3 linked regions of the Astyanax mexicanus genome follow. The protein of the gene in region 1 purifies or fractionates together with the protein of each later gene. This does not show direct contact. Links are inferred from orthologs where the notes say so. Each region holds a gene or a part of one and is shown in the gene's direction. Other genes may lie near its edges. The genes, in order: nek7, ankyrin repeat and SAM domain-containing protein 6 and anks3.

Evidence for each region.
Region 2: the proteins of nek7 (region 1) and ankyrin repeat and SAM domain-containing protein 6 purify together in Homo sapiens (affinity purification with mass spectrometry; 3 studies listed by BioGRID and IntAct, with this or other methods). This does not show direct contact. The link is inferred for Astyanax mexicanus from reciprocal best matches to the Homo sapiens genes NEK7 and ANKS6.
Region 3: the proteins of nek7 (region 1) and anks3 purify together in Homo sapiens (affinity purification with mass spectrometry; 3 studies listed by BioGRID and IntAct, with this or other methods). This does not show direct contact. The link is inferred for Astyanax mexicanus from reciprocal best matches to the Homo sapiens genes NEK7 and ANKS3.

The regions. Positions count from the first base shown.
Region 1 is NC_064423.1:21,309,284-21,320,595, reverse strand, and holds the start of nek7 (serine/threonine-protein kinase Nek7), read left to right. Parts: upstream 1-7,140; 5' UTR 7,141-7,485; intron 7,486-11,312. UniProt on the Homo sapiens protein: Protein kinase which plays an important role in mitotic cell cycle progression. Required for microtubule nucleation activity of the centrosome, robust mitotic spindle formation and cytokinesis.
Region 2 is NC_064408.1:108,797,206-108,808,681, forward strand, and holds the start of ankyrin repeat and SAM domain-containing protein 6, read left to right. Parts: upstream 1-6,580; 5' UTR 6,581-6,838; coding exon 6,839-7,173; intron 7,174-8,366; coding exon 8,367-8,893; intron 8,894-10,185; coding exon 10,186-10,230; intron 10,231-10,433; coding exon 10,434-10,638; intron 10,639-11,476.
Region 3 is NC_064413.1:15,004,354-15,015,497, reverse strand, and holds the start of anks3 (ankyrin repeat and SAM domain-containing protein 3), read left to right. Parts: upstream 1-5,822; 5' UTR 5,823-5,972; intron 5,973-7,029; 5' UTR 7,030-7,045; coding exon 7,046-7,221; intron 7,222-8,326; coding exon 8,327-8,525; intron 8,526-8,657; coding exon 8,658-8,779; intron 8,780-8,886; coding exon 8,887-8,968; intron 8,969-9,075; coding exon 9,076-9,193; intron 9,194-9,415; coding exon 9,416-9,553; intron 9,554-11,144. Other genes in the region: c6h8orf33 (UPF0488 protein C8orf33 homolog), read left to right, coding at 2,058-2,082, 2,200-2,624, 2,712-2,802, 2,913-3,059, 3,936-4,150. UniProt on the Homo sapiens protein: May be involved in vasopressin signaling in the kidney.

The DNA.
Region 1 (11,312 bases):
ATTACCTCAAAAGTACTTGAGTCTTCAGGAAACAATTTCCAAATATTATATCTGTTGTGGGAAAAGTTGTGGGTGCCTTTTCCACTTTAATGCAGGACTAATCTTCAAAACAATTTTAAACAACACTAATAAACAATGCAGCTGTTTGTGGAAAGGTTTTATACATCATATATAATTTTTGTATTTTTTTATTTCAGGCTGGAAAACTCGATAAGGATGGCAATAAAATGTGTACAGAACAGGTTTCTCACTACTAGCCAATAAAAGGTTGCGGTGGACCTTTAAAATACCGCATTTCCGTAAGGTGAAAGAGACTGTGTTCTCCATTTAATCCTTATTTATCAGGAGAACATTATGACACATCAAAGACTTAATGTCCTATAGTCGTTTAATTAGTGTTAATAAAACGTTGAGGGTCAAAGGCTGGGATATATACAGCTGTGTATCATCAGAGAACTGGAAGGAAATGTTGTATTTATTGATTACTCTGGACAATGGGAGCATATGGCGATTAAACAATGTTGGCCCTATCATGGAACCCTGGGGCACTCCACAGGACAAAGTGCAACGAGATAATCGCGGCCACTCAAGTAAGACTGGAACCAATTTAGGACAGAGCCAGAGAAACTAAGCCAATCTCATTAATGATTAAACAAAAGATGTTCAATGTTGCACTAAGGCTAGACTTTCACATTACAAGATTCATTAAACATTTTTCATTCATTTTTAGCTTAGATCAGATTTGGCAATCTTGAGAGTTCACATTCATGATGGGAAGTTACTCTTTATCTGGCTGTAATTTGAATAAATGTGTTTCTAAAATTACATCCATGTGCAAAATTATACATTTATGGCTATTGCCTCTGCAGAGACATCATAAATGTGTGGTTCATACTATCCTCATAGTTCTCAACATGGCATCTGTTTACGGCCATTCAAAAAAAAAAAGCCAATCTGCAAGCTGGTTAAGCCATGAGTGGAGGAGGGTCAACATGCAAGTGGGGAAACCTCCACATGAAGATTAGTTCCCAGAGCAAGGCAAAAAGATCATAAGCCAAACACTACAAACTATTTCTATATATATATATTTTAAATCAGATTTTATCAGGCATTTAAAATATGTTGAAGTTGTAATTAGTGACCTTCAGTATTATGTATTTTGTCTCTCCACATTTACAAAGATTGTCTGGTCTTGTGTGACCAGTAACGGTCCGGTACGGCAAAGATGGCCGCCAAGTGAACAGACTCTTCTATAAGGACACTAATTTCCTTTACCAACAGCATTAAGTGCATGTGTACAAAGATGGCGCAAAAGAAGTAACATTTGTTGTAACTGTTCCTATTCATGTCGCATAGGATCACATAAGTAAGTGACTCATCTGATTTGAAAAGGTTATATTAGACATGTCCACACAGCCCTGAAAAAATCAGATCTGTGTTAAACAAAGACAAAATAAGATAATAAGTCACCTATGTCTTGTAATGTGAATATAAACTACGGTCCATGAGAACCAATACAGTTAGTTTACCAATATCCTGGTCATTTAAAACTTTTAAAAGTGTTTAATTCCAAGCGTTAGAACTGAAATTTTCTGAATGTTATGATGGGTATTGAAGTCAGTGTCCATTATCCTTCTTAAATCCTGAAATCTCTCTTTAACTTAATCATGCACTGCAAAAAACGAAATCTTAGCAAGGCAATAAATTTTATTTTCTTCTCTGATAAGACTTTTTCTCTTACTAAGCATTGTAAGTGTTAGATATTTATCTTAATCATTCTTACTTAGAATTTGTACCTTATTTTAAGTAATTTGAACTCAAAATATGCACAATCAAGCAGCAATCAACTTATTCTGATTCTTGTGTCCAAAAACAGTGACTTTTTGCTCGATTTAGGAGTTACCTTACTCATTTTGAGACTTTGCCATTGCTTTTTGTAAGAAATCTTACTAAGAAAAATTTGGTTACCACATTAGCAGATTTGTTTGCTTAATATACATATATTTGTCTTAATTTGCATGTATTTTGTCTAGTTTTTGCCAATGGATTTTTTGCAGTGTGGTGCTTTAGTTCCTCCATGGGGCTTTAGAAATACAGAGCAATGATGTTATTCATTAAGACATGCTTTAAATATGTCAACTAGACTATCATAGATAGACTCTGTAACAGGGGCCAGTGAAGCACATAGCTTAGAGAAATTTAGTTTTATAATGACTATTTTACAGTCTTATGATTTATTGTCTTACTTAATTAGGAACAAAACAATTAATAAAATCTATATTTTTTAGATTTATTAAGCTACACATACAGGGGTAGTGTGTACCACAACATGCCAAAATGAATAGAAGTAGATGTTCCTAAAGGTGTCCTGTATTTTAACCATCCAATACAGCCTGAATATTCACAGTTTCTGCAGATTTACGAAAAGAGGGAAGTGTTGATACGGTTAGGGATAAGTCCGGCTTCAAGGCAAGGTGACACCGTGACATCAGGCCTTCTGAACATGTGACAGATGACAACTGCTGCTGATTTTGGTGCTGACTATGGTGCCTCCACACACAAATTTGTTGGTTGTCTCCAGCAAGACAAAGGTGGGTCTCAAGACAGAGTCATTCCAGTTTCATCCCACAGTCCAAAAACATGGAGATCAGGAAAATTGGATACTCTAAATTTCCTTGACAAATTGAACACTTTAAATGTCTGGTCTAGCCTGGCACAGCTCACCAAGCTTCATTTATTTTGGTTAATTCCCTATGGGTGCAACTATTGTTTGTTTAATGAATTATAGAAAAGTGTACCAAAAATGCAAAGTTTACATCATAAGCAGTTATTATACAGGCAGCCTGTATTTCATCATCCTTTTCTCCAGAAATCCCAACAGAGAAGACCCTAAAAGAGAGAGAGAGAGAGAGAGATGGAGGAGAATGCTCTTGTATTTGGTGTTGCTGGGGGCTGGAGAACATCATTAAAGCTTACAGAATTATAAGTGTTTGTTGCTCTTCGCAGCTACGATAGCCTCCACTCCTATGGGAAGATTTTACACTAGATGGTTGGAACAGTGCTGATTGTATCCAGCCACAAGAGTTTTAGTAAAATCTCAGTTACTGATGTAAAATATTTAGATCTGGATAAAGTTGCAACACTCTAGAGAATGCATTTTCACTGCTCTATTGCTCGAGGCTAAGGACTTAACACTCCTCCAGCTGACACCTGGCATTGGACATGGTGACCCTAGGATCATATGCAGCTGCTTCAAAAAGCTCTACTCTGTTGACAGTGCTGTTCTTATATTGTTCCTGTGCAATTTACACCTTCACCATTTTGCACAACTGACCATCAGTAGCATAATTATAATGGGTGTCTGGACTCTATGAGACATGTTGTATATATATATATATATATATATATATATATATATATATATATATATATATATATATATATATATATATATATATTACAGTGGAAGTACTGTTGGAAAACATACATAACCTGGAATCTCCATTCTCCACTGTAAGACTAAAAGGCAAGTAATTCCAAATGCTTAGCTTCCCCTGGGGCATTTTATCATTGTCATTTATGCTTCAGTTAATGCGTTAAAAAAATGTTTTACTAAGAAAGATCTCATGAGGCACGCAAGCAAGCGCACATGCAGAAACATCATTTAGACAGATCCATGGCTATTGATTTTTATCGACAGATATAATAATATAGAGTCTTTGTTTTTTTTTTATCTATAACGTGATCCTTTCCCTCGTACCCATAAAACCTGTGTTGTATTATTGAAGAGATAAGCCAGACTCTAAAGTTTGTAGTGGGGGGAAAAAGGGAAAGGAAAAAAAAATCCCTGAAGTAATTCTAATCTGCATCCCAGAAAAAAAAAATCCCAAATCAAACAAAAGTCCTTGCGGCAAAACAAATAATATCGGCGAAGGAGAAAAAGTTTACAATACGTTTAGAATGCTGCACCGGCAGTGTGTGCTACTTTTAGAACAATAGACTTTTCCGCGCGATTATTAGACAGATTTCAGCAAAACAGACTCGCATGTTGAACCAGAGCGTCTTGATAGAGCTCCCTTTTACAGTCAGAAGCGCTGCCTCTCATCCATCCATCTAATTATTCCCTCAGAAACCCAAAATTTGAAGATACTAAAGACAGTCCCTATCTGTCATGGCAAGGCATTGATCTCATTGAGAGAAAATGTGGGTGTTGAGGGAGCCCAATATAACTTGTACCATTAAAATCCTACCCAGCATTATTCGGCAACAGAATTGACAGATATTCCAGAGATGTTTCTTTTAATCTTCAGCCGTTGTTCAAGAAGAGGAGAAAACACACAGTGCATGCTTTACCTTTTTCATATGGTGTTTGTGCGAAGGTTAGCAGAAGCACTATTGAAGTGTCAGGCGGGGGGGAGAAAAAAAATTCAGCACACATCACTTGTTGATTATCAACTGTCAAAACAGAGGTGGATAATACTGTTTCCCATACAGGGGAAAAAATATCTTTCAGACTGCATTGTCTGATTAAATGCAATATAAGGATTCTGGTGTCAGCTTGCTGTATTCAATTTTCCTACAGTAAATCAAGCTTATTCAGGATTTTCTTTGATAATAGAAATAAAAGAATAACTTTTGAGTTTTGTTAGCTTTTAACAAGATACTTGGAATCTATGCAGGATTCAGGATTTATTCATTTTTATAGGAGTCAAGTGAAAATAGTCTGTGTTTAGAGGAGATAGAACCTAAAATCCAACAGAACTGCAGAACTTCATCTGACAGACTGAGAATTTAGACTACAGTAGACTTATCCTAAATTGTCTGCAAAGAAACAGAGACTGTACAGTGTAAATTTACTGTAAGTGTAAAGTATGTGAATTATGTTGACTGCACAGATTTAATATTCTGTACTATTTGTACATACATATATATATACAGTATATATATATATATATATATATATATATATATATATATATATATATATATATATATATATATATATACACATATACATTGCCTGAATTGGACTGAAACTTTAGATGGATAATATTTTCAACAGTCTTAATCAACTTAATCAAGTGGTGCACAATTTTGTTTAGGCCTAAAAAGGCACCATTAGTACCTACATTGGAGTTTTTCACCTTGTAGGCTAGTGGCCCCAAACTCTGCAGGTCCTGGCCTGGAAGGCACTGTTGTAGATCATCAGCTTTGAATACATATGAATCTCTACAGCATCAGCAAGGGTGTAGGCTACCTGCATGTCTTTTTTTTATGTCACAGATACTAACACATTTGTATTAATTCGATAAGATTTCTCAGTGGCAGTAGCAGCATCATTTGAAGTTTATTTAACTCACAATGGTTTAGTAAACAGCAGATACTTATTAAACCTGAGCTTGATTAAATTCAGCAGTTACAGGTTTTTTATTCATCTGATCTGACTCTGAAGAAATTACACTTACACTCATGTTTATAATCACATGCCTGTCATGATAATTACGTTACTGACAATTTGTGATTATGACCTCAATCATTTTGTCCAACGTTTTTGCCTTGCAAGGGCAGATGATCAACTTTGAAAACAGTGGTTTTATTTAACCTATGTTTTATTATGTAAAATATTTAAACATTTTTAGTTTTTATTATTTAAAACTGTTGCTTTTTATAAGGGTATAATTGCACTATGTCTGTATTATCATTATATGATTAGTACAAAATGGTCCTAAAATGACATATATAATTTGTGCAATTACTTCTGGGAAAATATACAGTCCAGAAAAATTAGGCTTATTCAAAACCTAAAGGCAAAATAATTCTCAAGGCATTTTAAAATGCAATTTACATTTTTAATTGTTTATGGAGACCTTGTTATGTTTCAAAGATACATTTGATTATTATTTTTCATATTTTAATTACCTTGACATTTTACCACAACAGTGTGGACAGCTAGAGACAAAATGAAGTCAAATTAATATTATTAATTGATGAACATGCAGCAGGGGTCTTCAGTGCCTTGAATATAAAACACCATTAAGGTTGTGATGTCAATTATGTCAAAGGTAACTTTTTTAAAGGGGGGTTTATCCCAAGATGACACAGGGTGAACAGGGACTTCATGGACACTTTTAAATAGCTTGATATTTTTTATGAAAACAGCTTAAAATTAAATTAGATAAATTAAATTAGCAGCTCATACATGTTTTTTTTTTTTTTACTGTGGGCACATGGCTGTTATTTTAGGTTAAAATTGTAATGTGACTTAAATTACAACAATTTCATAACTTTTTTTTATTTTAACCTTTTTTTTAGAAACTGTAGTTATATGAGACGTAAAACATTTAATTAAGAAGAAAATAGTTCATTTGTTAATATTTTTTACCATTTAGTTAAGAAAAATGTTATATTTAGGGTTAACCACTTTTCATTAAATATTGTTTCAAATCTACCAAAAGTACTTTAAACTTAAGACTAACATTCCTCTGTATTGGTAATCGTGTGTTCTTTCAGAGTAAATCCTATTTTATTTTTTGCAATTTTTATTACATTTATTTTTATGAAATATGAACAAATATGTTGTGGACACACAAAAGACAAGATATACTGATATACATGGGTTTTTTTTTTATTATTAGGATGTAGCTAACACATTTTAATAATTATTATTATTAATAACTCAATAATTCAGCCTGTAATTTTCTCAGAGAATGTCTGAGAAATATACATATATGGTCGTTCTGGACAGGAATAAAATCACAGAGGACACCCCCCCCCCCAAAAAAAAAAAATAGAAAAATAAAAATAACAAATTAGTTAGTTACCAACTTGACTCGAAATTCCCCTTATTAAATGTGTGTTTGGGTATTTTCAAGATGTATTAGCTAGCATGTAGATAGCCTAACACTTTTTAAGGCAAATAAATAGAACTAACAATCGGTTTCTTCTTGAAGTAGTTAACAGTTAACTAAATAGCTAGTTAGTTTAGAGTTTAAGCTATTTAATTCGAATTTCTCCTCACGAAATGTGTTTTTACATAGAATGTATGCATTTCGGTTTTACCCAAAATAAAACTAGGTCATTTCCACAGTCAGAAAACAGCACAGAGAGCAGGTAGCCGCAGACGGAGCTCCAGTCGGTGAGACAGTCGGGTGTCAGAGTCTCCAGCTCCGGCTGCTCTCGCCGCTGCTGTTGGCGGAGTCTGTGCGGGAGCCCGCCCCCTTTCCATCGGGCATGCTGGGATGTGTGTTTTACACCTCAGGAATGGCGAGCTAGAGGATCGCTCTGGGGACACGCACATCTTCACTAGTCCGCAGTCTTGGACTACCCTCGGGAACCCTGCGAGCTGCAGCAGCTGCGCGCGCTGAGGCGGGAGAAGTGAGCAGAAGCTCAACCCGGGACTGAGCTGAGCTGAGCTGAGCGGCGCGGAGCCGTCGACTGTGCGGAGTTCAGAGCGCGGAGTGTGGGGAGCTAAGCTGGCACTTCCTGGTAAGGATATAGCGGAGGTAGCTAGCCGTTAGCTAGCCGGCTAACGACTGTGAGTTATCCCGTGTCAACAGTCAGCTAGAGAGCTAACCTAGCGTAAGCTAAATTAGTGCTATGTAGAGGTGGGTAACTCAGGTCCGGAAAGTAAAAATCCATCCCAGGGTTTTGTACCAAGTGCCTGGGCTGCTCTGCTGCAGGGCGCTCCCAGGCAGTTGGTACAAAACCCTGGGAAGGATTTTTATTTTCTGGACCGGGGTTACCCACCTTTAGTGCTAGGTAGCGAGCCTGCGCGCTGTTCAGAAGTTAGAAGTTAAAGTCGTCTCATAAGTCAAACACTAAACTAAGCGCGTGTATATATGTTGTAAAAACGATTATTAAGGACAAACGCGTTTTATTAGGTTTGTAAATGAGTGAATTCGCTGGAAATGAGGGAAACGCTCACTCTGGAAAAGTTTCAGCTAGCTGTTTAGATAGCTAGCCAGCTAGGCTAACATTCAAGCGTTGCTAGCGTAGCAACTCGGTTGACGTGGGCTAAACAGTCAGGAGTTAGCTAAGTTAGCTAGCTAACGCAGATATGGTTATGTAGCTGAGAGTATTATTATTTTGATTGATTAAATTTAAAACCTAAATGTAACTTTTTAAAAAATCCTGCTTTTTGTGACTCATTACCAGGAAGTCGTGAAATGACTGTTCACAGTTAGCGAGCTTACTAACGTCTTGACCTGTCAGCGAGGTGACACACACACACACACTAGTGAATAGTTTGTTTAGCTGTTTCTGTGACTTCATGACAGAGGCACTGTTGAGGAACCTGTTAACTAAACTATCTTAGCTCACTAAATAACCAGCTGGGTTAGGTTAGCTATTTACCTAGTGCGTTACTAATAATGAACTTTGCCTAATTAGTTACATTAAATGTGGCTTCTAAGTTACTTGTTTATGTGCCTGTTTCGTTGTAAAATACAAACAGTTTACTCTAACCCTCTATGGCATGATGTTGCCGTCAAGCAACAAACTAATAATGTGTTTTTATTACACCATTCCTTACCATATCTTGGTTTTAAATGTATGTGTTTATTGGTTTTGTTATAATATAATGTTACAAGAAATATCTACGTCCAGTACAATGAGGTGTATAAGTGGGACATACGTAACGTTTTTTTCATTATGTAGATCACATTTGTTATGGCTATTATGATAAGAAAAGATCTCCTTAAAAGTGGTGTGATTTTCTTCAATCCTGTTTTAGTCTAAAATAGCACCACCGAAACAGTATGTTTTATTTTTAACTTTTAGAGATACCATTTTAGATATAAGCTGTAAAATACTAGGAATAATATCAGGTCTAGATATCTGTACAGGTATTGAACAGGTCTTGATGTCAAATTACCAATAACTTTGCTCTAATACATGTTTTACCACCACTGCCACTCTGTAATTTATTTTTAGATCTCTGCAATGTGGGTTTTTACCTTTATGACAATTTTATTGATGTAAGGTGGTGCCATATTTTGGAATGTTGTTATTGCAAAAATGCCCTGAAATTTGTTGGTATTAGTTTAGGGCCATATGCCATCATGGAACTGGAATTTTTTGCTGTTTGTAGCAAAAGTAAAATTCACACTGTTCTTATTTTCAATCTGTTGATAATTTTAGATGCGAGTGAGTTATATCATATCATATATGCAATATTATTGCATTATAAAATGTTTAATTTGTTGTTTCAGTAGTGTATATTTGAAATTAATGTTGTCATACCACCAAGAGTATAGTTTGTGCAAAAATACCCTGAAATATTGTGATTTATTTAGGGCCATATCGCCCACCCCTAACTGATATTAGTCTACAGTCTTGTTTTGTCAGAGTGGCAGGGAAGATCTGAACTGACAGGAGCTACACTTTAAAATTAAGATTTTACAAACATGAATGATGCCACAGACATTCTTTTTATAAAAAAAATATACAGTTATAGTAGATACAGAAATCTGCTGCATAATCTGTTGTGCTCATTCTGTTTTGCAACACATGCACATACAGGCCTCAGCTTTTTGTAATTGGTCAAAATGTCCAAAGCATAAAATTTTTTTTAATTTAGTTTATTTATTATTTAGTTATTGTATTAAGTCTGAAGGTCATGAATGCCATAAGAGTGCCCAGTACAAATGATCAAGATTTTTAGATGCTAGTTAGATAAATGGAACTCCATAGAGCTCCATGTCCAAAACAGACATCTTATAAACCCTTGTAATTTCGCCCTCAAATTTGTCTTTGTAATGCTGCTTTTCACTTTGCTCAGGGTGTCTGTTTCACAGAACAAGAAGCAGTCTGGCTACCCTGTCAGGTTGATGAAGTGCTGTCAGGTAGTTTACTTTGGATTCACTTTTTCTGCATTTTGTAATTCTCATACATCTTGCGCAATCCCACTTTAGATCATTGTAACCTTTGCATTTTTACTTGTATGATTAAGTTCTCAGAAACTGACAATATAGACCGGATGCAGTTGCATTATCTCCTAATGCTCCACCCTGCATCATTTTACCAGTTTTCACAGTTTTGTCCTCTACAGAAATCTGTCCCTAATTACATTACAGCTGCCAGCCTCGGAGGGTGTGGGCAAACATGCTTGTGCTGCAGATGCTCCAAAGCATGTGAAGCCAATCAGTCCATCCTTATGAGCTGTGTGTCAGTGTTCTCTGTGTGCTGGAGAAGGGATGGTTGTACTGCTGAGGATTTCTGCCCAAACATCAGGTGCCGGAGATTAAACCCAGTTTTTACCTTAAAAAAACACTGATCCCAGGCTTTATTTATTTATTTCAGATGTGTCAAAAGAAACCAAATCAACAACCAGAATGTCCTGATACATTTCTGAAATTGATCATTATTTTGGCATTCGTTTTTACATTACATTAGCTAAAGAGCTATTTCCTGATTAGTGAACTGTTTTACAGGCCATAATTATGACAAGACACAATGTGTAATCTGTTTTAGATGAGTGTTTAGTTTTGAATTGTTGTGGATGACAGCGACTTGCCACAAGGACAAGTCAAATTAAAAATGCTGTGCATCAGTGATACTGTGGGTCTTTTGCATTGAAACTGACAGTGTTGATCTCAAAGCCAAAAGCTATCATTTGCTGTTACTGTTACAACTGAGACTCAGTCAGGCCCCATTTTGTTGTAACTTTTGTAAATTTTATCTAATTTTTATGTGATTATTTCTTCTTATATATTATATTGTATAATGTAGGCCCGATTATGATGTAATTTTTTAAGCCTAAAGTAATACTTAGGGGAACACCCATTCATATTAATCATACTAAAATTAGTGACACAATAAATATTTAGTTATATTTTTATTTTTTATTAATATTTTTTTTTACATTTAGATTTTATTATAACTTTGACAGGGATACCCAAACATTTGTTTCAGACTGTGTAGGCTCAGGTTATAGAGTCAATCTTTATCATATTATACAAAAGCTTATTAAGCAATGTATTTTGTTCAACACAAAAAATAGATCAGTGTCATCTCAAAAACATTAAAATACTCGAATCAGACTAGGGCCTAAACAAACACATCAGTGGCATATAAGTATAGTGCAACATCTCTAACTAGACATTCTTTCTATATAACAATTGCTCTTTTTGTAATGGCTTCTAATGGGCCTTGTTTTGTTTGTAGGCAGAAGATGTAAAGTTCCTAAATTCCAGAGGATTTGCACTGAGGTTAGTTAAAGGGAAAGAGTCATTAGTCAGCTAGCCAATGTTTTTGTTTAGGTAATTAAAGTAATTGTTTGTTTTAGTTCCTTTTTATTCATTAAAGATTTGTTT
Region 2 (11,476 bases), on another chromosome or scaffold:
TGCCCTTTTTCCCTGCCAATGACCCAATCCACTCTTTTTTCCCTGCCAATGACCCAATTCACCCTTTTTTCCCTGCCAATCCACTCTTTTTCCCTGCCAATGACCCAAACCACTCTTTTTTCCCTGCCAATGACCCAATTCACTCTTTTTTCCCTGCCAGTGACCCAATCCACTCTTTTTTTTTTACCATTGATGATGGTAGAGTCTGACCACTGCACAAAGTCTTCTTCAGCACATCCCAAAGATTCTCAATGAGGTTAAGGTCTGGACTCTGTGGTGAACAATTCATGTGTGAAAATGATGATCTCATGCTCCCTGAATCACTCTTTCACAATTCCAGCACCATGAATCCTGGTATTGTGATCTTGGAATATGTCCGTATCATCAGCGAAGAAATCCATTGATGGAATAACCTGGTATATATTCAGTATAGTCAGGTAGTCAGCTGACTTCATTCTTTCTGCATGTACTGTTGCTGAACCTAGACCTGACTAACTGCAGCAACAACAGATAATTTACTTACTTAAATCCAGGTGGCAACTTTTTTGGCCAGCAGTGTACCTTAGAGAGCATTTTGGTTTGTTTAACACTTTTAAGTTTACTACATAATTTCTTAGGTGTTCCTTCATCTTCTGGATGACTTTTTCATTTAGTATTAATTTACAAAGTAGGAAAAACAAATAATACAATCATTGAATGTAAAGGTGTGTCCAAATGTATGATTGGTACTATACCCTGAGACCTCACATTAAAGTATTTAAGGTAGATGAATTAGCAGTCCAGTCATGTGTCCCTATTACTTTAAAATATAAATTACCACCACTCTTATTTATACCCTTGAGCTTACTCAGCTCATTTCATTGAGGGCTTTTTCTGTTTTCAGCGGTCCAGTATTCTACAGTTTCTGTTCTGTCATCTAAGGAGATTTCAGAAGAGGAAAGAAATATTTAAACTTGGGGAATACTGCTGAAGCTTTTATGATCTATTTCAAAATCTCCCCAAAGGCCTTGATTATTTGAGGTCAGGGCAAACTTTGGAGATGAGAACCGATTACATAAACCCGCTCCTTATACAGAGTCCGTTAGATATTTTCCAAATTGCCGCAGGGTGCAATGCTGTGGTCAGCTGTTAAAAATTTAAAGGTTTCAATGGGCTTATAGCAGTCGTGATACACCAGATTAGCACCAGCAGGGATTGGAAAACAATACGAGTTGATTACATATGTAGAGTCAGATTGTGATCCTATTTCACAATTTGTTTAGGGAGGGTCACAAAGAAATTGCAATAATGGGAAACAAGAAAATTAGAAATGTATTTCCTGAAGAAAACACAATTATTATGCAGCTAAAGTGGTTCCATGGGTTTCTAAATTGTTGCTAGGTGGGTGGTGAGTTGTTGCTATTGTACAGTACTTGATTACTTGCAGTTGGCACCTTAACCCTTTCTCATAATTGGATTAACCTGTGTGAATGTAGGTCAATGAGCTTTCCAAACAAATTTTGTGTTTCAATAATTAGTGCTAAAGGTATTCAAATCAATACAATGACAAGAGTGACAAAATTTATGCATTTGCCTAATTTTAATTAAAGAATTACTGCAAACGTTCTGTAAATCCTATTAACTTCATTTCACTTCTTAAATATCGCTGTGTTCATCTGCTATATGATAGTTTTAATTGAAATTTCTGATCCAAATAACCAATTATTTATAAAGGAAAATCATAAAAGTTATAAGGGGTTCCCAAACTTGTTCTTAGCACTACTAAGCATGCCTGAGGTTCAAAGGCCTATTGAATTGTTCATGCTCTAACAAATTTAACAAAAGTTATTTTAGTCTTTCTTGAAGTATTTTTCTAGAATATTGCATTACATATAAAAAGTAAATGGGATTTAACTGTGTCAGTTCCACTGGTGGACCATTATTCACCATGCTTACAGAACATATGGTTTAAGACACTAGGATCAGTTGTCTTTCAGAGGCCCACAGTCACAGTTTAACGACCCCACGGACACACATTCACTGTAGAGCTGATGAACCAAAGGAGAAACCATCAGAGCAAAACTGAAGGGTTATGTACTAATCCAAAGCATATATAGAGGAGCTGAAACACACTTTACACTGTACACACTGCTCATCATGAGGTGGCAGCATACACTACACATCCATGCAAACAACTTTTTTGTAGATCTGAAGTCAAAATCAATGCTGACCGAATCATGGACCAAAGCCTGAGGAACATATTGTAACAACGATGGATGAAGAACACTAAAAATGGGGCCCAGGGTTGTGGGTTTAATTGTCTGGCCTCTGTATGTGAGGAGTTTGATGTGTTCTCAATGTTCTCAATTTGGTTTCTTCTCCAACACATGGTAGATAAACTGCAACCCGAATCTGACCAGGAAAAAGCACATAAGGTGATAAACGATTGGACACATTGGCTTAGGGTTAATGACTTTAAAGGAGCATTCAGTCGGAAATTAAAGCGAGCGTGTAAAATACCTACAGCATTGCAATATAAAAACACCACAGAGAGTTGTCTGCCCTGCCCACCACTCCCCAGACAAGCTTACTCAGGTTGCCAAGTTGGGGAGGCTGAATCTAAACAATCCATTGTGAGCTCTCAATTCCTTAAATTAATTTATCACCAGTTCCTAGTAAAAAAAAAACTTAGCAGTTCTGATAATTTCTCTGACTAAATTAGTTAGTCAATTAGCTTACCTGTTCAGGAGAAAAGTAGCCAGCTTGATGTCGGTCTTGTAGTCTTTTTGAGCTCTAAGTCTAAACTTTCGAACTCACTGCCAATTGGTCACTGAGCTTTTTTGAGACATGCTGAGGCTTTTTAGGCTGTGTAGCAGCTAAAGTTTCAGCTGAACCAGCCCTACTTGCTAGTTTCCATGCTGCAGCACCGCTCGCTGATGTGTATTGGCAACCTAGGAGGTAGAGTTAGTGCTAGGGAATGAGCAGTAGGCAGAGTCAGAGGCCAAAACAAACACAGATACCTTCATGCCTTTTCTTGTCTGCTTCACAAGAGTTACATAGTGCAGTTAGTACACTCAGCCTAGCCTTAACAGACAGTATTTTCTCTTTTACAAATCATAGGAGCATCATTAAGATTTTAAAGCATATAGTTTAAGGTAAAATGTTTAATATTGTTGTTTAGCCCATATCAACCAAGACATTAGCTGATTTAGCCATGCAGACTGGTGGGATATACGTTTACATTATTTAATAGCCTTGCAGCTCCAGTGCAGAACAAAAGAGGTAAAGTTTTGAGAAAATGTGTAAAATATTGGCTGCTAGGGGTTTAACTTGGCATTACAGTATTCATATGAATCAAGGCAGTGACTCATGAAATTACATTTGGCAAACCACATTTCTCATTTTAAATGGTTTAACTCAGTAAAAGATTAAGAGAATGTTATACGCTTGCTTTACTAACATTATTACAAAGCACAGAATGGTCCTTATTAATCAATTAATTCAAATGGAATTACAAGGCTTCTTTGTAGCTCATCAAAACCTATTCTCGCTAAACGGCACTGACCAAAAGGAAAAGACGGATATGGTGTTTTGTAGGCGCTCTCTGGTGGCTGAATATGGGACAGCTGCTCATACAATCTTATCTCCTTTCATCAGCTTTTATATTTACTTCAAACTGTATTTTTGTACACTCTGCTGTCATATTTTTCGGAAAATCTACTTTGTAGCTGCATGTAATAGGTTGCCATACCTTTCACACACTTTTAAAGAAGAATTCCACTATTTATCAAACATAATTTAGCATAATATTTCATTTAAGAATGATTAAGTAAGTTATTCAGAGTGGTTTTACCTAAGGTCTTGTTTTTACCCTTTCTTATTGAGCTCTAAATGTCTGCTCTTTGCTTGTATCAACTGGTCTTGGTGTAGGCCAATTCAGCCAATAAATGACCAGAAAATGCCATACCTTAATAAATGCACAAAGAACCAGGAATACTGAAATACTATAACCACCAGGAATACTGACAACTAATATACCGCACTGGAAAAAAATAAGAGACCACTTCAGAGATCAGTTTCTCAGATTTTGCTATTTATAGGTTTGAGTAAAATGAACATTTAGAGCATTTATTTGCAGAAAATTAGAAATAGCTGAAATAACAAAAAAAAAATGCAGAGCTTTCAGACCTCAAATAATGCAAAGATGACAAGTTCATATTCATAAAGTATTAAGGGTTCAGAAATCAATATTTGGTGGAATAACCCTGTTTTTTAATTACAGTTTTCATGCATCCTGGCATGTTCTCCTCCACCAGCCTTACACACTGCTTTTGGATAACTTTATGCCACTCTCGGTGGTTCCAGCGTTTTTTTTTTATTTGGTAAAATCAAAGAAACCCATCATTTTTAAGTGGTCTCATTTTTTTCAGAGCTGTACACTACAACCATCCATGCAGAAATCTATATGTATATTATATAATTATATATGATATATGTTATGTATATATAAAAAATGATTTAAGCATGTCCCATGACAAACATGTAGCCTATCCTAAAAATGACAACTTTACAGGAGAAGGCAAAAATATTCTAAACTTTGAATAGAAGTAATTTGTCATGTGTTTTAAATTTTACAGCATTTCTACTGATCTATTCATCCATAATTATTTACACACTGAACAGAGCATCTAAAATGGAGAAAATTAAAAAGGGACAAACATGGGATAAATTAACTCTGGCCCTAATCTGGCCTAAACCAGTGACAACATCTGTAACAAATCTGGCAAACTAATTTAGCCCGGCTTATTTTTCCACAACAGGTCCAAACCAGCACATCGGATTCTAATATAGGCCAGAACTGACACAGGGCTACAATAAATTTCATTACATTTGGCCCATATCTGACTCAAATCTATGACTCAATTACATATTTGTGGTTCAAATAAGGCACAGACTTATTTACAGTTAGACTGAATATTTATATTAATATATACAACCATTTACAATGGTTTGCAAACGTATTCATACCCCTTGAACTTTGTCAACTTACAACCAAAAAAATTTCGAAAATAAAAATCTGAAAATGTGATGTGCAAAAGTATTTAGCCCCCTTTACTCTGAACCCCCTATATAAAATCCAGTGCAGTCAATAGCCTTCAGAAGTCACTGAATAAGTTAATAGACTGCAGCTGTGTGTAATTTAGTCTCAGTATAAATACAGCTGTTCTGCATCAACCTCATTGATTTGGTAGAAAACACTAGTGAACAAACAGCATCATGAAGACCAATGAACTCACCAGACAGGTCAGAGATAAAGGTGTGGAGAAGCAGGGTTAGGTTGTAAAAACATATCGCAAGCTTTAAGCACCAAAAATGGAAAATTAATTCTACAACTGCAAACCTACCAAGACATGGCCATCCACCCAAACTGACAGATCAAACAAGGAGAGCATTAGTCAGAGAAGCAGCCAAGAGGCCCATGGTCACTCTGGAGGAGCTGCAGAAATCCACAGCTCAGGTTGGAGAATCTGTCAACAGGACAACTATAAGTCATGCACTCCACAAATCTGGCCTTTATGGAAGAGTGGCAAGAAGAAGAAAGCCACTGTCAAAAGAAATACATTACAAGTGCTGTTTGTACAGCAAACATGTGGTAGAAGGTTCTGTGGTCAGATGCTTTGTGTGGCAGAAAAGTAACACTGCTCATCAATCTGAACACATCATCCCCAAAAGTGAAACATAGTGGTGGCAGCATCATGCTGTGGGGAGGCTTTTCTTCAACAGAGACAGGGAAGTTGGTCAGATGTGATGAAAAGATGGATGGGGCTAAATACAGAGCAATCCTGAAAGAAAACCTGTCGGAGGCTGCAAAAGACTTGAGACTGGGGAGGAGATTCAAGACAATGTCTCTAAACATACAGTCAGAGCTACAGTGGAATGGATCAGATCAAAGAATATTCATGTGTTAGAATGGTCCAGTCAAAGTCCTGACCTAAATATCACTGAGCTTCTGTGGCAAGACATGAAAATTACTGTTCACAGACGCTCTCCATCCAACCTGGCTGAGCTTGAGCTGTTTTATAAAGAAGAATGCGCAAAAATTTCAGTCTCTAGATCCATCTATCAAAGCTGGTTGAGATATACATCAAAAGACTTGCAGCTGTAATTGTGGTGGCTCTAAGCAAAGTATTGATTCTGAATACTTTTGCACATCACACAATTCAGATTTGTATTTGATTACATTTTTTAAATCATTTTCTTTCCATTTTACAATTATGTGATGATTTTTTTGTTGGTCTATCACTTGAAATCTCAATACAATTTTGTAAGTTTGTATTTGTAAGGTGACAAAATGTAAAAAAACAAAAAAAAAAAAAAAAACTTGCCATGCTATGCTATAATATCAGAGGAAGTTTTACTTTGATCCTTATGAGAACCACACTCTCAGATCTACTGTAGTTCTGCTCTCACTGACCAGCAAGCCGGGGCGCAGCTGAGGGGTGGCTGAGTTGGTTGTTGAATTGGGACAGGCCCCTCTTAGACAGCGGCAGTGGTCTACGGATAGCGCATGCGCACACACAGCTAACAGCGAGTTGCCAAGGATATGGCGAACAGTTACTCCAGAAGTTAAGTTAGGAGAACACAGTTACTCTAATACTCTAATAGACCACCGCGATGCGATTTTCCGTGCTGCTGGATCCGTAAACACCATTATACTGTGTTTTATTATCTATTATCATGTTGTTTAAGCCTGGGCCGCCAGTAAACCCAGTAAAAACAGTAAACCGCTCAGTGGGAGAAGAAGAAGAAGAAGAAGTTTTGTGGTGGTGGAGGAGGAGAAGTTTTCCCGGAGCTCAGGATGAATTTCGGGGTTCCGGCGAATTCGCTGCTGCTGTTCCGCGCCTGCGACGAGGGAGACTACGACAGCGCCAAGCGGATTCTGGAGCACCCCGGGGCCGAGTCGGGAAGGCAGTCCCGCAGCCGCCTGGACTCGGTCTCGGAGTGCAGCGTGGACGCGGTGCGGGCCGGGCTGCCGCTGGTACCGGTGGACTGCACGGATGAAGAGGGGAACACGGCCCTGCACTTCGCCTCCGCCAGCGGACACGAACAGCTGGTGCGGTTCCTGCTCCGGAAAGGGGCGTCCGTGGACAGCCGGAACAACTACGGCTGGACCCCGCTCATGCAGGCGGCGAGGTGGGGTAACCGCTCTCTCTGACCAGGGGTGCGAGTTCAAGCTGCCCAGATAATATCCAGCTAGAACTAACTTAGTTATCTTGTGGGGCCTACAGAGCCCCCTAAAGTGACATTGTGTTTAAAAAAAATATGCGTGGCCACAACTTATTAATGCGTGGGGACGAGATAATTAAGGCGTGTGAATTAGATAATTAAGTAGTGGCCAGAGAATAATAAAGATTGCTTTTCTGTAAAGTAATACAAAACCCTAAGGTGACATCATGCAAAAAAATGATATATATACATAAACATAAAAAAATGCGTGCCCACAACTTTTTGAGGTGTGGAAACAAGATAATTAAGGCATCTGAATGAGATAATTAAGTAGTGACCACAACTTACAAATTAAGGAGTGGGAATGAGATCCTAATGCGTAGGAACGAGACAATTAAGGTGTGTGAATAAAAAAATTAAGTCGTGGCCACGATTTATTAAGGCGTGGGAATGAGATCCTAAGGCGTGACCACGCATTATTGAGGCATGAGAACAAGAACCTAATGCGTGGGTACGTGATAATTAAGGCATATGAATAAGAAAAATACGTTGTGGCAGCAACTTATTAAGGCATGGGAATGACATAATTAAGGCATGGGAATAAAAAAATAAGTCGTGGCCATGATTTATTAAGGCGTAGGAACAAGATCCTAATGCATGATTACAACTTATTAATGTGTCTAAACAAGATCGTAATGAGTGGGAACAAGATAATTAATGCATGTGAATGAGATAATTGAGTTGTGGCCAGAGAATGAAAAAGCTTGTTTTTCTGTAAATTAATATGGAGCCCTTAAGGTGACATCATGCTAAAAATAATAATGTGTGACCACGACTTATGAAGGCATGGGAGTGAGATCCTAATGTGTGGCCACAACTTATTAAGATGTGGGAATGAGATCTTAAGGCGTGGGAAAGTGAAAATTAAGGCATGTGAATGAGAAAATTAAGTTTTGGCCACGATTTCTTAAGGCATGGGAACAAGGTGCTAATTTGTGGGAACAAGATAATTTAGGCGTGTAAATGAGTACAGGCATGTACAGACTACACATCAGTTTAAATGTAGTTACTTGAATTAAATCAGTTTTCAGTTTTGATTGTTTAAGTGTCAGAAAGCTGTCAGATTTTAGAAAATTAACTTTCTGTGTTCATCTCTACAGATTTGGTCATCTAAACGTGGCTCATATCCTGCTGGAGAATGGAGCGGAGATCAACGGCAGGAACCGCTTGGGTGCCAGCGTGCTCACCATGGCCGTGCGAGGAGGCCACGCGCACGTCGCTAAACTCCTTCTAGAGAACGGAGCTTTTGTGGATGATTTTGACCACCTCTCTGCAGTGGAGGGCAATGCTAACGGGAACAATAGCAACCATAGTGACAATGGGAAGAACTTCCTAGATATCACACCATTGTTATGTAGTGCTCAGCACGGCTTTGAAGCCATGGTGAGACTGCTGTTAGAATGGGGGGCTGATGTGAACTTTTCTCAGAAGACCACGGGATGGAGCGCGCTGATGTTAGCTACTTTAAGTGGAAAGGCTAGCATAGCTCAGCTGCTGGTAGAGCGAGGTGCTGATCCTGATCACCTGAATGTACTCTCCAAAACTGCGTTTGAAGTGGCTCTGCAGCTTAAACATAAAGAGGTGAAGAGTTACCTCGACTCCATCACCACAGTTCGTCCACAACCAGGTGAGACCAACAAACGGATATAATATGAATCTTTGGTATTCAGATGATACAATATTTTATACTGTTTATACATACACTATATATATTCAAATGTGTGTGAACACGACTTCAAATTAAAAATTTTGTTGACACAGAATGGACAGATATGAACAAAGGGCATTCATTTTTTTTCTTTTGAACTCAAGTGTATGTAACTTCCCAATACCTCCTGAGACTCATTCTTGCATTTTTAAAAATATTTTTTTATTAAAAATGTACAATTTTGAATACAACATACAACCATCCTCCCATCCAAAATAATAATAATAATAATTTAAAAAGGGAAGCAGCACACTTAATTTCCCCTAGCTATTTAGAATTAGTAGGATGTAGAATTAGTGTCCTCATATTGGGACAAAAGTTCGTTTTAACATTTAAAAATGATTCTTGCTATTTGGGATCAAAGGACCAAATTAGTGGAAAACAAACAGTAAGTAAATAAACTGGTTTCAAACATAAAATGTTATTATTACCTGCCACTTGTTTCTGTCTGGACTGGCTGTAGAAACGTTTGGCTCAGATTCCTGCCATCTTGTTTTCAATCAATTTAGTGTAATGTTGTCATGTGACCACTAGATGTTAGGGGCAGTGTCTCCATATGAGGCCATATGGTCAATATAAAAAAAAACTATTATTGTGCAGAGAAGCAGAAATGTAATATCCCCATATAAGGATGCAGGGTCTCAAGATGTTAAAAAAAGTTCATTATTTATTTGTTGGAGTAACTTTCCTCAGTGTCAAGGTAAGGTTCCTTCAATATTTTGGAGCCTTTTTGTTAGGATTTGGTTGCATTCAGCAACTAAAGCTTTAGTAAGGTAAGGATGTTGGATGATCACTTTCACTTAACTGTACCTTATCCCAAACTTCCCAGTTTATCCCAAAAGTACTGGATGGAACATTCAGTCATTCCTGACATTAGGCATGGTGCTGAAAGATTCATGTCTGTCTTCCTCCTGTTCTATTGGTAGTAGTCTACTTTTCTAGATAAGTGTTGTGTGTGCATTTGTTTGTCTGTGTCAGCAATGGGTTCAACTTAAAGCATCTATATGCATTCAATAGAGGGAATGTCTACAAATAATTGGATATATAGAGAATGGTTGCAGTTTTTGACTCTTAGTTTCATCTTTTAGTTGCAGTAGTCAAAAAACGTGATTGGAAAAATGTAAAAAAATTATGTATTTTTTCTTTAATCCTGCACCATCATCAAAATGCACTGTGCTGATTTTTCCTTTTCTGTTTTTTAATCGAAACAGATGCCGAGAAGAAGAGACCTGATGTTTTCAGTGCCCTAAAGCTAGGTGAGTAACAGGGAGCACATGAATAGCATTAGAAGAGCTCTGCACATTAATGAACTCTGTTTTGGTAAGATCATTTTCATACTGTTGCTCTACTGTTGGGGTAAAGCATTGCATGTCTTTGCATTGCTTTTTTAATCCTTTTCCGGTGAAGATCTCACAAGAATTTGAACTGACACCAATGATTCATTGATTCAATGTTGTAGGAAATGCTCAGCTGGTGAAGGAGATATTAGAGGAGGATCCATCGCAGGTGAACTTGGCTAATGCAGATGGGGCATCTCCTCTAATGATAGCAGCAGTGAGTGGACAGCAGGAGGTGGTGCAGTTACTGGTGGAGAAGAATGCAGATGTGGACAAACAGGATGGGGTCCATGGCTGGACAGCTCTTATGCAGGCTACGTATCATGGGTAGGACAAATGTAAAATATACTATATTCAAAAAATATTATTACGGACCAATTTTGAATCATAGCTAATATATTAGGGGTGCAACAGTACATTCATCTCTATAGAACTGTCATGGTACGAATATCATGGTCTAAAACATATAGTCACACTGAGACTCCATTGAACTGTGTACAAGGTAACTTATAGATATAGAGACATGGAGGGATTGTTGGCCAAAGCAAGGGTATTCCCTCACTCGTCCTTAAAAAGTTCTGTGAGATTGTTTAACCACCTTGCTGCAGAGAAGATTTTTGGTCTTTTAAAAACTTAGCTTGCACATGTTGAGGTTGTCCATTTTGAATTTGGAGGTGCACTTAGAATTGATTTTGCAGTATAAGTCTTGCTCTATACGTCTTCAGCATTTAATTTATATTTCTATTAAATTTTGCAGCCTGTATTTAAATTTACAAAATGCATTAGGCTTGCTCAGTTAACCTCTGAAAATTCTGTTATCTTTTTTGGTAAGGATTCAGGCATATATACTTTTGATGGCTTTGTCATTAAGGTCATATTAGTGCAGGTGTCACTTAACAGCAGAACAATGCAACAGAACTCTGAATCCTTCTTAGACTTAACCACACACTAGACGACTTTAAAAAAGACTCTGAACAGACTTTTAATAGACTAAAAACTGACACCCTCTCACATCTAAAGACAAGTCACAGACTTTTTACTCACAGACTAAGATTTTGCAAAGATCTTGCAGGGTCACTATTTGCAAGACTGCAACTAGTCTTTTTTTTTTTTTAATTATTGAAGAAAATATTAGATATCATATTTTTTCTTAAATCATTAATAA
Region 3 (11,144 bases), on another chromosome or scaffold:
TAAAAATAGCCATTAACTTACCTGTTTCGTTTCGATTACTCCGAACACCCAAAACAACGACCGTCGACCGTGGGTAGCCTTCCTCCCTGCCCCCTATTTATGCGATCGGTGACGCCATCTGCAGAAGTCCCCTCCCACCGTGTCCTCCCATTGGACAGATCGACGCTTTGATCTGGGGAATGGCGCATAACAGCTAACGGTTACGTCGCGTCGTTTTATCATTATCGCACCAAATAAGAGAGAGAAAATATAAAGAAAAAGAGGGAAAGAAATCAACTGCTTCTTCTTTTGATCCTCATTACTTTAGAAGCAAAAGCAAACAGTATCCCGTCTTACTTACACATCCCAACATGCATGTTTAATCATGAATAATTATTAAAAAAAGGCAAATTCAAAGTATTTAAACATTTCTAGCAGTGATCACTGGAGCTTCTTATTTATGGGGGGCATGAGTATTCAAATCTGCATTATGTATATTTAAATTAAATGCACCAGACTTTTAATAAATTTCAGATGTTTAATGGCTTTATTTATACATTAGAATTGTAATCATGCTCTTTTGGGGTTTGCGTTTTTTACTTGTGAGGTGTTAAGGTAAAAGGGGTATTATTTTATTCAAATCCATAAAATATTTTTTTCATGAGTTTTTTAAATATATATATATATATTATACACACACACAAACAATAAAGCTTTTATGTTCCATACTTATTCCCAAAAAAAATAATAGATTAACACTTCAGTGTCTTACATTTTCAACATTTATGCTTAAAAATGTTTCTAAAAGTGTTTTTTGTCTTTTGACAGGTTGTTTGATTTTTTACCATATTAATTTACTAGCTGTTATAAGTTATTCGGTTTCGTGTGGCCTTTTTATCACTTTAATCAGGATACTGAAATACTATCAGTAAGGAAGAAATCGCCAGTTTTAAGTTTTGCGTGCATTTGCTTTATATAAATTTAAATAAGTATAAAACTACGAGCAAGATACTATTTATTGTTTTCAATTGTTTTGCACGTGTTGTGCTTTCTAACTGTACGTAAAATAAAAGAGGGAACCACTGCGTGAGGGAGTCTATTCTTCGACGGACTCTCTAGTAGGTGTACACCAGCACCAGCGTGAGGACAGTTGTTTACATTAGGCTGTTTTTATTTCAGTCTAGTTAAGCTGTAAACCTGTTATATTTAAACATTTTCACATTGTATTGAATATAGAAGACATTTAGAATTATTTAAGAAACGTATTAATAAGGATTTATCCCCACTGAAAGCCGGATGTGAGGTGAGTTTATGCTGAAGACCAATTTACTCCTTACTGCTGGATGAACTGGGCCAGCTAAAGATATAATTTGTTGATATTCAGTAAGTTTTTAATGTTTTGAACACGATAGTAAACACACCTGTTTTGTAGGTAAAACTGAATTGGGAAAAGTCTGTCATTGATAAATTATGGAAAGATCTATGGAAAGCTTGAGTGAGTCTCTCCTGATCTGTCCATTTTTATACAGAACACAGATGTGGCCATAGCTTTTCTGAGGTGAACTAGGTGCTTATTTATTACACACAAGCAATCCAAATTCCATATGGCATATACAGTATTATAAAATATTTAAATATTATATATGCAGCACGAAGGCATGATAAGATAACTAGATAATAATATAAAACAATATTTACACTTAAAATCATAAATTATGTACAGGCTGTTAGTCTGTAATGCATTAACAATTAATAGGAGTGTAATGGTTTACAAAGCCTAAACTTGATGTGATAATGTTGTCTTGATTATATACATTATTTTAAATAAATTAATCAAATAAACACGTGCATTATCTTAACATGCATGTATCTACTTTTAGAGTTATAATTATATGACAAATGAAACAAAAGCTGAACCACAACAAGAAGCTCATCAAGCTGGGTGCAAAATATAGGTAGCTGGGTAAGTTACTGAATTTGGTGGATTTTTATTTTTTGTAGGCTTGGCATCCTCTCCATGATATTAATGGGATAATAAATACTTTTGAGGTAATTTCTGCCCAAAGTGACCTCCGACTATGGAAGAGGGTTTAACTGGAAAAGGTAAAGTAATGGGTTCTTTGCAACTGACCACTATTCTTAGCTTCCTGCTCTTTGTGTATTTTGACGTTCCCACATTTTCCCACATTTACATTTCCTTGTGTCTGTGTTTTGTAAAAGGGCCACAGGGAGAAAACTGCTCAACCCTGGCAGATTTTCATTGGAAGCGAAGCGATAACTCCTTCACCTTTAACTTTCTCTCACAAGCCCCACCCTGCCTGGGATACAGTCTGGTAGAACCCAAGCAGGCAGATTGTTCGAAAGCAGGCAGCTCATTTGCTTTCAACTTTCAGATCCCTGTACAAACCGCACAGAGTGGTGAGCCAGAAGACGAAGCCATGCAGACCGAAACAACAGAGACTGGAGAAACCGCCACTGAGCTCAGTGCAGTTGCTTCAAAAAGCAAAGTCAAGAATAAGAAAAAGAAGCAGCAGCAGCAACAGAAGAAGAAAGGAGGAGGAGGGGAGGAGGTGGTGGTGGACAAGCAGCAGAAAAAGATTAATAAAGTAACTGAAGAAGCTCCAAAACAGGAGAATGTAGAAATGGTTAGTGAACACACATGTATTGAGCTTACTGTTAGACTAAAAAAACGAAGTATTTAATTTCACATATTGTGTTTGTGTGTGTGTTAGTCTCCAGATGAGCAGCTAAATAGAGAACTGGACTGGTGCATCGAACAGCTAGAGCTGGGTCTACGAACTCAAAAATCGTCTGCCAAGCAGAGTGAGTAACAAATACTTTTAAACACACTATGGTTATTTACTTGCATTAATTCACAATAATCCATACAAACAAGATAAACAAGCTGAAATCTGTGTGTGTTTGTGTAATAGAAGAGGAAGCCAGTCGTGCTCTAAAGACCCTGCGCAGCTCCAAAGCTCCTCTGGTGAAAAAGAGGCAGGTAATGAGAGCTGTGTCTGGAGATTACAGGAAAAAGATGGAAGAGGAGAAAAATAAACAGTTCAAACTCATTCAGTCAGGTGAGATATAGTTTCACTATTTGTACAGTGGGAGGAATTTAGACATGCCATTCTGCTGTTTCTTCTTTCCTGGTACTGGCAATCTAAAGAATTAACTAATAGAAATAGTTTAAACACTAAATATTTAAACACTGCTGGTCTGTTTTTCATTTAATTTTTTAACATTTTTTAATGTTTTTCACTATTTTTGCATTTGGACTTCCCACAGTAAAGGAGAGTAATTTACATTTACACAATTTTGAACTGCTGATACAAAACACTAAGTTGCATTGTGCAATTGCAGTGTTCTGGACCCAGTGTTAATGAGAGAGTTGTCATTCTTCCTATTACAACATAATGTTGCTTTAAGATCAATATGTAAAAATGGGACTGCCCCACAAGATAAAACACAGCTGTAATAAACCGTAATATTTTTAGTCTGGTTACAGAATTAGAATGTAGTTATTCTGTTTTTTTTTTCTCCAATATCCAAGAAGGAAGTATCTAATATTAGCCCAATAATGCTCTTCATTCATAATAATCTAATCTTTAATGAATAGAGTTTTAATTCATTTAAGTTTTAATTGGTCTAATTTAAAAATTATTACAAGTAGTAATAATTTAGTAATAATTACAAGTAGATGTTCAGTATGTTTGCATCCTGTACATATGCACATCTTCCCTTTCTGTAGCATAATTGCTGTTTGCATAATTAAACATATCACAGAAAATAAAACTATGGTAAGGTGTGCAGAGGTAATTTTACATTAGATATATTTATCTATTTAAAGTTTGAGTGACTTGTTTACACCAACAAAATGTGCATGTGACCAGGATTCTCAAACTCATCCCTTTCTATGTGAAAAGGCAACTAACTGGTCATCCCTGTTTCAATAGCTATGACCACAGCAAGGGTTAGCGCTGTGTCAGAACCTTCCCGCAGACCAGTGTTCCACCGCCGTGCTGAGACAAAGAGAGACACAACGCCCAGCACAGACAAACCCCAGGACACACATGGACGTTCACATGCTGTCGAGCAGACTGATGGACACACGGAGCAGTTTGTTTTCAGACCCTCTCAAGAGGAATTTTGCTTCAACTTTGACGTGTGATTGACTTCAGATAAGCAGCAGTGGAGCTACACTATTGGGGGAGGATATACTGTGCAGTTCTGGGGTATTATCACTGTATACCTGAATTTTATTGCAAACTGAACCAAATACAAGTTGATCATGGATAAGGCTTTTTGACCTTGGTGAATAAAAATTCTAAAAAAAGGTTGATTTTGTAATTCTCAATTACAAAATAATATACAGTACAAGTGCAAAGCTTGGACACACCCTTTCTCATTTTACGTTTTTTTTTCTTTACTTTTATTCTTTTCTACATTGTAGATTAATATTTAAGACATCAAAACTAAGAATAAATGCATATGCAATTATGAAGTAAACAAAAAGTGTTTAAAAAAAGCCAAAATACATTTTATATAATAGAATAAATATTATATAATACAATTATGTCACTTGAATAAATATGTATGCTTCTTTCTCAGTATAAGTCAGTAATGGTTCTTCAAACCAGTTTATATTGGGAATATACAAAACTAGATTACCATCTAGGGCATGAATTATAATTTTTTTTTTAGTTGGAACCCTATAATTTTTGGAAGCTTAAGGGTCCCTGTGGATATAGCAAACGTAAACTTCAGCGAATAAAAAACACTATTTTAGTAAATTAACATTAGGAATGTAAGAATATTGTAAGAAAACAAAAAGGCAAATCTACTTTTTCACATATTCTTGCACATACACATTTTTTATGACCCACTTGTATTGGACATACAGCACTGGGAAAAAAAATAATAGACCACCTCAGTTTTTGAATCAGTTTTTTTTATTTTGCTATGTTTGAGTAAAATGAACATTGTTGTTTTATTCTATGAATTACCGACAACATTTCTCTCAAATTTCAAATAAAAATATTTTGATTTAGAGCATTTTTTTTGCAGAAAATGAGAAATGGCTGAAATTACAAAAAAGCAGAGCTTTCAAAAAATAAGTTCATATTCATAAAGCTTTAAGAGTTCAGAAACCAGTTTATTTGGTTAAATAACCCTGGTTTTAATCAGTTTTCATGCATTTTGTCATGTTCTCCACCAGTCCTATACACTGCTTTTGGATAACTTAATGCCACTCCTGGTGCAAAAATTCAAGCAGTTCAGCTTGGTTTGCTGGCTTGTGATCATCCATATTCCTCTTGATTATATTTCAGAGGTTTTCAATGTGGTAAAATCAAAGAAACTCATCATTTTTAAATGGTCTCTTTTTTCCAGAGCTGTAGATATGCCATGTAATATTATATTAATAGTAAGTAAATAAATAAGGCTTGACATAGTATGAAAATGTAAAATGTAATTATCTAAACAAAAAATGTGGTTTGGTGTCTGAGGGCAACACTAGGACATAGAGGGTTAAATAACTAAATGGTATAGAGTCTGTTGTGGTTACCATGGATACATAAAGTATGGCGGAGTTTTATACAATATAGTGAACTGAAAAAAAAATTATTTTGCTAAAATGAACACGTTAGTTATGCGTCAAGCTCACCCAACACAACAATTCGTTTTATTATTAAAACATAGTTTTATAATGATAAAAACTACCCCTAACTTTTGTAAAGTTTGTCAAACGTAAAGACGGCTACGGCAGTGAGCGCTCATGGGATATGTAGTTCCTTAATTTACGACACGCGCTTCAGATCCATACGAGGGAAGTTGAAAAGACTACAAATCCCTGTCTGTCCTGTGAAAGCTAGCCCGAACAGATGAGAGAACTTGTGTACGAAACGAATTTGTATCCATTCCGTTAGGATACAAATCCATGGAGTTGTTCGTCTCGAAAAACATACAAACAGAAACTTTACCTGCTCGTATAAGTAAGTAACTTAACTACATTTCTTTATTTCTTACTGTAACATTCACTCAGCGAAAGCTTGCTCATAAGAGCCATTTAATATCCGTGTCTGTTGATAACTCTCCCACATTTCCCAGTTCCCCTTATTAAAACATCTTTATCCACAGGGATAGGCTTTTATTTTACAGTTGAACTGGAGCGAATGAATCAGTTAATACATACATTAAGAGTTGGATAACAAATGATAATCTAATGTGATTGTATTGACTAACAGTGCTTTCAAGCGAGAGTAGTGTGTTTAGCTTAATGTTATTAAAAGTTTTAAAAGTCCCTGTGGCAGCATACAGTGGGGCTCTCTCCCGCAGGGAACTCAGTAATCGCGGAATTCGGTGTTCTGTCGAGTTGTGTTACCCGTCGAAATGTGCTTCTCAACGCCAATGCGCATGCGCGGACCCAAATCTATTTTATGTTTGTGTTTTATGATAGTTCTACAAAAGTTTACTTGGGTGCATTTAACAGCCTGAACCTTCTGTCCTTATGTCATTTTTGTCTGAGTGTTACAAATGTGTAAATTGCAGTTAATAATTATAATAATAATGAAAGTAATAATAAGTGAGCAATAAAAATAAAAAACGGAACACTATCCCTATTTACCTCTAACTGTATCCTGATATATTGCTTGGGGATTTTTAAATATTCTACCTAGAGTATTTTTTATAAACATGGTGCTTTGTATAGCATTTTTTTTTTACGATACACTAGGGTAGCACGGTTTAGCAAGGTACCAAAACTCGACACAACACCGGCAGCTAGCTTGCAAGCTGAGTGAACTAGCTAATTAATCAGTATTTAGAGCTTCTCATTATCTTTTTTTTTATATATATACTCAAGAAATTACTGAAAGTGTTCTGTTCTACACCAACTTACTATTAGCTAACATAACCTAGCGGTGTTGTGCAGGTTAGCTAAAAAACTCTCAGCGCTGGTACACAGTGCTATGATTGCTCGGATTCCCTTTCTGCAGAGCAGGACTCGCAGTAAGTTTCTGTAATAAAAGGCTCGTTGTTGTGTTGGGTCAGGTTCGCTGGCTGGAGGATGTCTGAGCTGAGCGATGAAGCCAGCGAGTCAGAGCAGCTTGGGGCAAGTCTGTCTGTGTGGTTCGGCCACAGCGGGAGCGCCCTGATCCGGCCGGAGGAGCTCGGAGTGCCGTTGGACCTCCACACCGCCTGCTCCATCGGACAGTACGACGTGGTGGTGGAGTGTATTCAGAGGTACATGATACTGTCTGTCTATATCGGCCTGAGCTGCTCAGTCTAATCAATTCTGAGTTGGTCATAATTGTTCCAACCATTTCAACAATAATACGCTTTAAGGAAACCTAGAGGTGGGTAACCCCCACCTCAACTTTAAAATATGAAGTGATCTGGTTTTTTTATTACAATAAGATAAAAAAAAAAACAATTTGGATCAATATTTTAATACTGGATCTGAGCTATTATGGGATAAGAATGGTGATAAAAAAATAAGCCGGTAGTCAGTACTAAGAGTTTTAAAGTTTTGCTCTTTACTTCAAGAACAGTAGCTAATTAACAATTTAACTTAGTCAGTAGTTAATACTGATAATGAGATTTGCTCCCTATCCTAAAAAGTGTGATTAACGTTACTAAGTTAGTATGAGATTAAGTTTTAGTCATTAATCTAAGAATGACAGTTACTGAGTTTGTCAGTATCAAGTGATTTTTGCTAAATTTTCATCACCATTTTTTTCGCCATTTTGTTTTTCATGCGTAAAGTCCCATGGCAGATCATTATAAAACATACTAAAATAATACGTAACATTAAATTAGCATTTAATTTTATTTGGACTTTGCTAACTAAACGATTGATTAAGATATGGTTTAAAAATCTAAATTATTTTATTATTTGCATTTATTATGTAAGCATTTTACACAGGGCTGGTATGTTTATGGTTACAGAGCAATATATTTTACCTATTAATGTAAAAATGTCTTATAGTTTAGTTACTCTTTAAGTTTATGTTTAAGTAGCTTAGAATCTCCTGAAAATAACCTCTGGCATGTGTGAGCGTCTTCTGTAATTTTTTTTTGTAATTTTTTAGGTGAACAGTATTAACAGCATCTAATACTGACTGATGTTCATTACAGGAAGCTTTTAAGTCTATTCAAGTTATTTATTTATTCATTCATTTGCTCCTCAGCTTAAATGTATTTGAAATGTACAGTTTAAAATACTTTGATGATTAATGCAATTAAATGTAATTAATTTAATCAGAGAGGACGTAATTAATTAGATCATTTTTTGCAATCGTTTGACAGCACTAATACATATATATATATATATATATTTTTTTTTTAGAAGGGATGTAGATGTGGATGGGAAGAACCTTGGTGGATGGACTCCACTGATGTATGCAGCGTACATTGGTCATGACAACATCGCTAACCTTCTCCTGGAGTCTGGTGTTAGTGTTAATGCTAGCACTGCTAAAGGTCTAACACCGCTAATGCTGGCCGCTAGCTGCGGCAATGAGAGCATCGCTTACTTCCTTCTTCAGGTACAGGATATTAATTGGTTGATTAATGAAATAATTAAAATACAAGTTTGCTGATTAGATTATTAATCACACTGGATTATTCACAAGTGTTCCTGAGTTTGTATATTCTTGCATCTGATTGGCTATAAAAAGCAAGGAGCAGAGCTTGAGGGGAAGGATGGGCGAGGCTGGACAGCCCTTCTGCACAGTACAAGCAACAGACATCAACAGATGGTGAAATTTCTCTTGGATAACAACGCAAATGCAAATATCAAGTAAGATGCCAGCACACTTCCACACATCACACATGTATGAATACCCGCACACATTTTAAGTTGTTCGACAGACGTTTAGCTTGACCTTTTGGCCATTGGTTTTTCAGAGAGCCAGTGTTTGGATTTACTCCACTGATGGAGGCTGCAGCATCAGGCCATGAAATCATTGTCCAGTATTTGCTTGATCATGTGAGTGTGTGTATGTGCATGAGTGTGTATCTGTGACTTATTGTGTGTCAGCAGCTGTTCATGTGTTGTGTCATCTCAATGTGGGTGTGTATGTGTGTGATTTGCAGGGAGCTCGAGTTGAGGAGAGGAATTCTAAGGGTGAGACGGCGAGAGTGTTAGCCATGACGTACGGCCACACCAAGATCGCGAGTCTCATAGACATGCACTGTATGAGAGCGAAGCAAGGTCAGACACATACGGTGCATAAAGGCAGACACACTCTTATTTATACACACATAATAAAACTCTGACAAGCACAGACAATACCGTTCCACCTCATGTACCACATGTGATGCGAAAGACAATAAAGTCTTCTTGAATCCTTGAATCTTTGAGACCTCATATCTGTCATAGCTGTCATATTTGAGGATGTAGCTCTGTTTCTCTCCCTCTCCTTCTGGTGATTAGGTATGTATGAGGAGTTGAGCTCATCAGAGGAGGACAGCGCAGCTCCTAGACTGAGATCGACACGTAGCAGAACCAGAGGGCCCAGCATACACGATGGACCACAGGCCATAGCCCGTTTTAGAGTGGGACCCAAACATGGTATGTACCTACACACACACATAGTCACTTCATAAGTCTACTAAGAGTAGATAATCAATTTGCCACTATGTTAAAAAATCACAAACGTTCACTCATTTGGTATTACTATGTTTGGATGATCCATTATAGGTGCCTCAGAGATACTTAACATTCAAATGTATGTCTATTAAATGCAACTGAACTCTAAGGTGAAAGTAAATGATTCAGTATTGAATGTAACCCTAAATCCAACTCCAACTAACCTGAAATCTAATCTTTACATTTTGAGGTTATGTTGTGAGTTAGATTTAGGGTTTAAGTTAAGGTTTGGGTTAGGGTTAGGTTTTATGGTTAATTCATAATTTAATTCATAATTTAGGATCAGGGTTAAGAATCATTAACATTCAACTAATAGCACTTTTCCACCGATGTGGAACCGGCACCGTTCTGGTTTGCGGACCTAATTTTGAACCGGTTTGCCACATTTCCACGAACAAAAGTAGGTTCTGGAGCCAGGAACATTTGTTCGCAGTGGGAACCGAAAAATACAATGTTCTTTAGCATGAACTATGACAACATCTGTGGGTGTCTGTGGGTCTGTTTGTACAGGAGCAACACTCTCTGTTTATGACGTATGATATGATATTTTCACGGTTCCACTAAAACTGGTAGAAACGCAGGCTGGTTCACTGAAATGCACCTTGATTCTCATAATCCATAAGGAACTGGTTCAAGAACCAGAATTCCTTTGGTGGAAAAGTGCTATAAGAGTAAATTTGCCTTTAATAGACATTCAGATAATGTTAGATAGGCATTTATAAAGACCATCCAAAAAAGTGTTACCGCTCAGTTTTTTAAGAGCCATTCAGTAGGTTCTGACTAATGTTCTGTAATTCCTTTTGTAATATTTTTACTGGATGATAGATTGTCTCAGAAATAATGACAATAAAATATCTAACTAGCATAATGAACATGTAATAGGATTATAATACACTTACATCATGTAACAGATACATTTTTAAAAAAATGTTTTCGTAATCGTAAAACTTTATATATGTTGGTTTGTTATCAATGTATTCGTTGTTGTGCAACTGTGTATTATATTGGTTTGTATGGAAATAAACACAATGAATTATATAAAAGTTAGCATACATTGTACAGTAAGTCAACTTACATATTTATAAAGAGTGTTGTGGACAGGGTTTTCTAATAGCATGATCAGTCTGATTGTATCCACCTTGTATCCATCTGGTTGCCAGCAGACTTTTGGTTTAACTGTTAAACTAGTGTTTCTCAGTCTTAACAGTCATACTACCACCTATTGTCATGATCACCAGGAATTAAGCTTCTAATACCAGATCTAAAGCTGCAGGTTCAATGAATCAGCCTAACCACAGGGGTTGCACAGGTGGTTTTGGGAAACACATGTGAAACTTAACAATGCTTTGTACTATGCAAGTTACTAACGTGTTTAGCTTACTAGTTCCAAATTCAGTTTTAGAAAACACTTGCATCACAACTGCTTAGAGCAGACTGTGTAAGTTGCTATTGTACTTAGCAACTTTGCTTTTGGAAAACAGACCTTTGCTCCACATTCTGCATTTTTAGATTC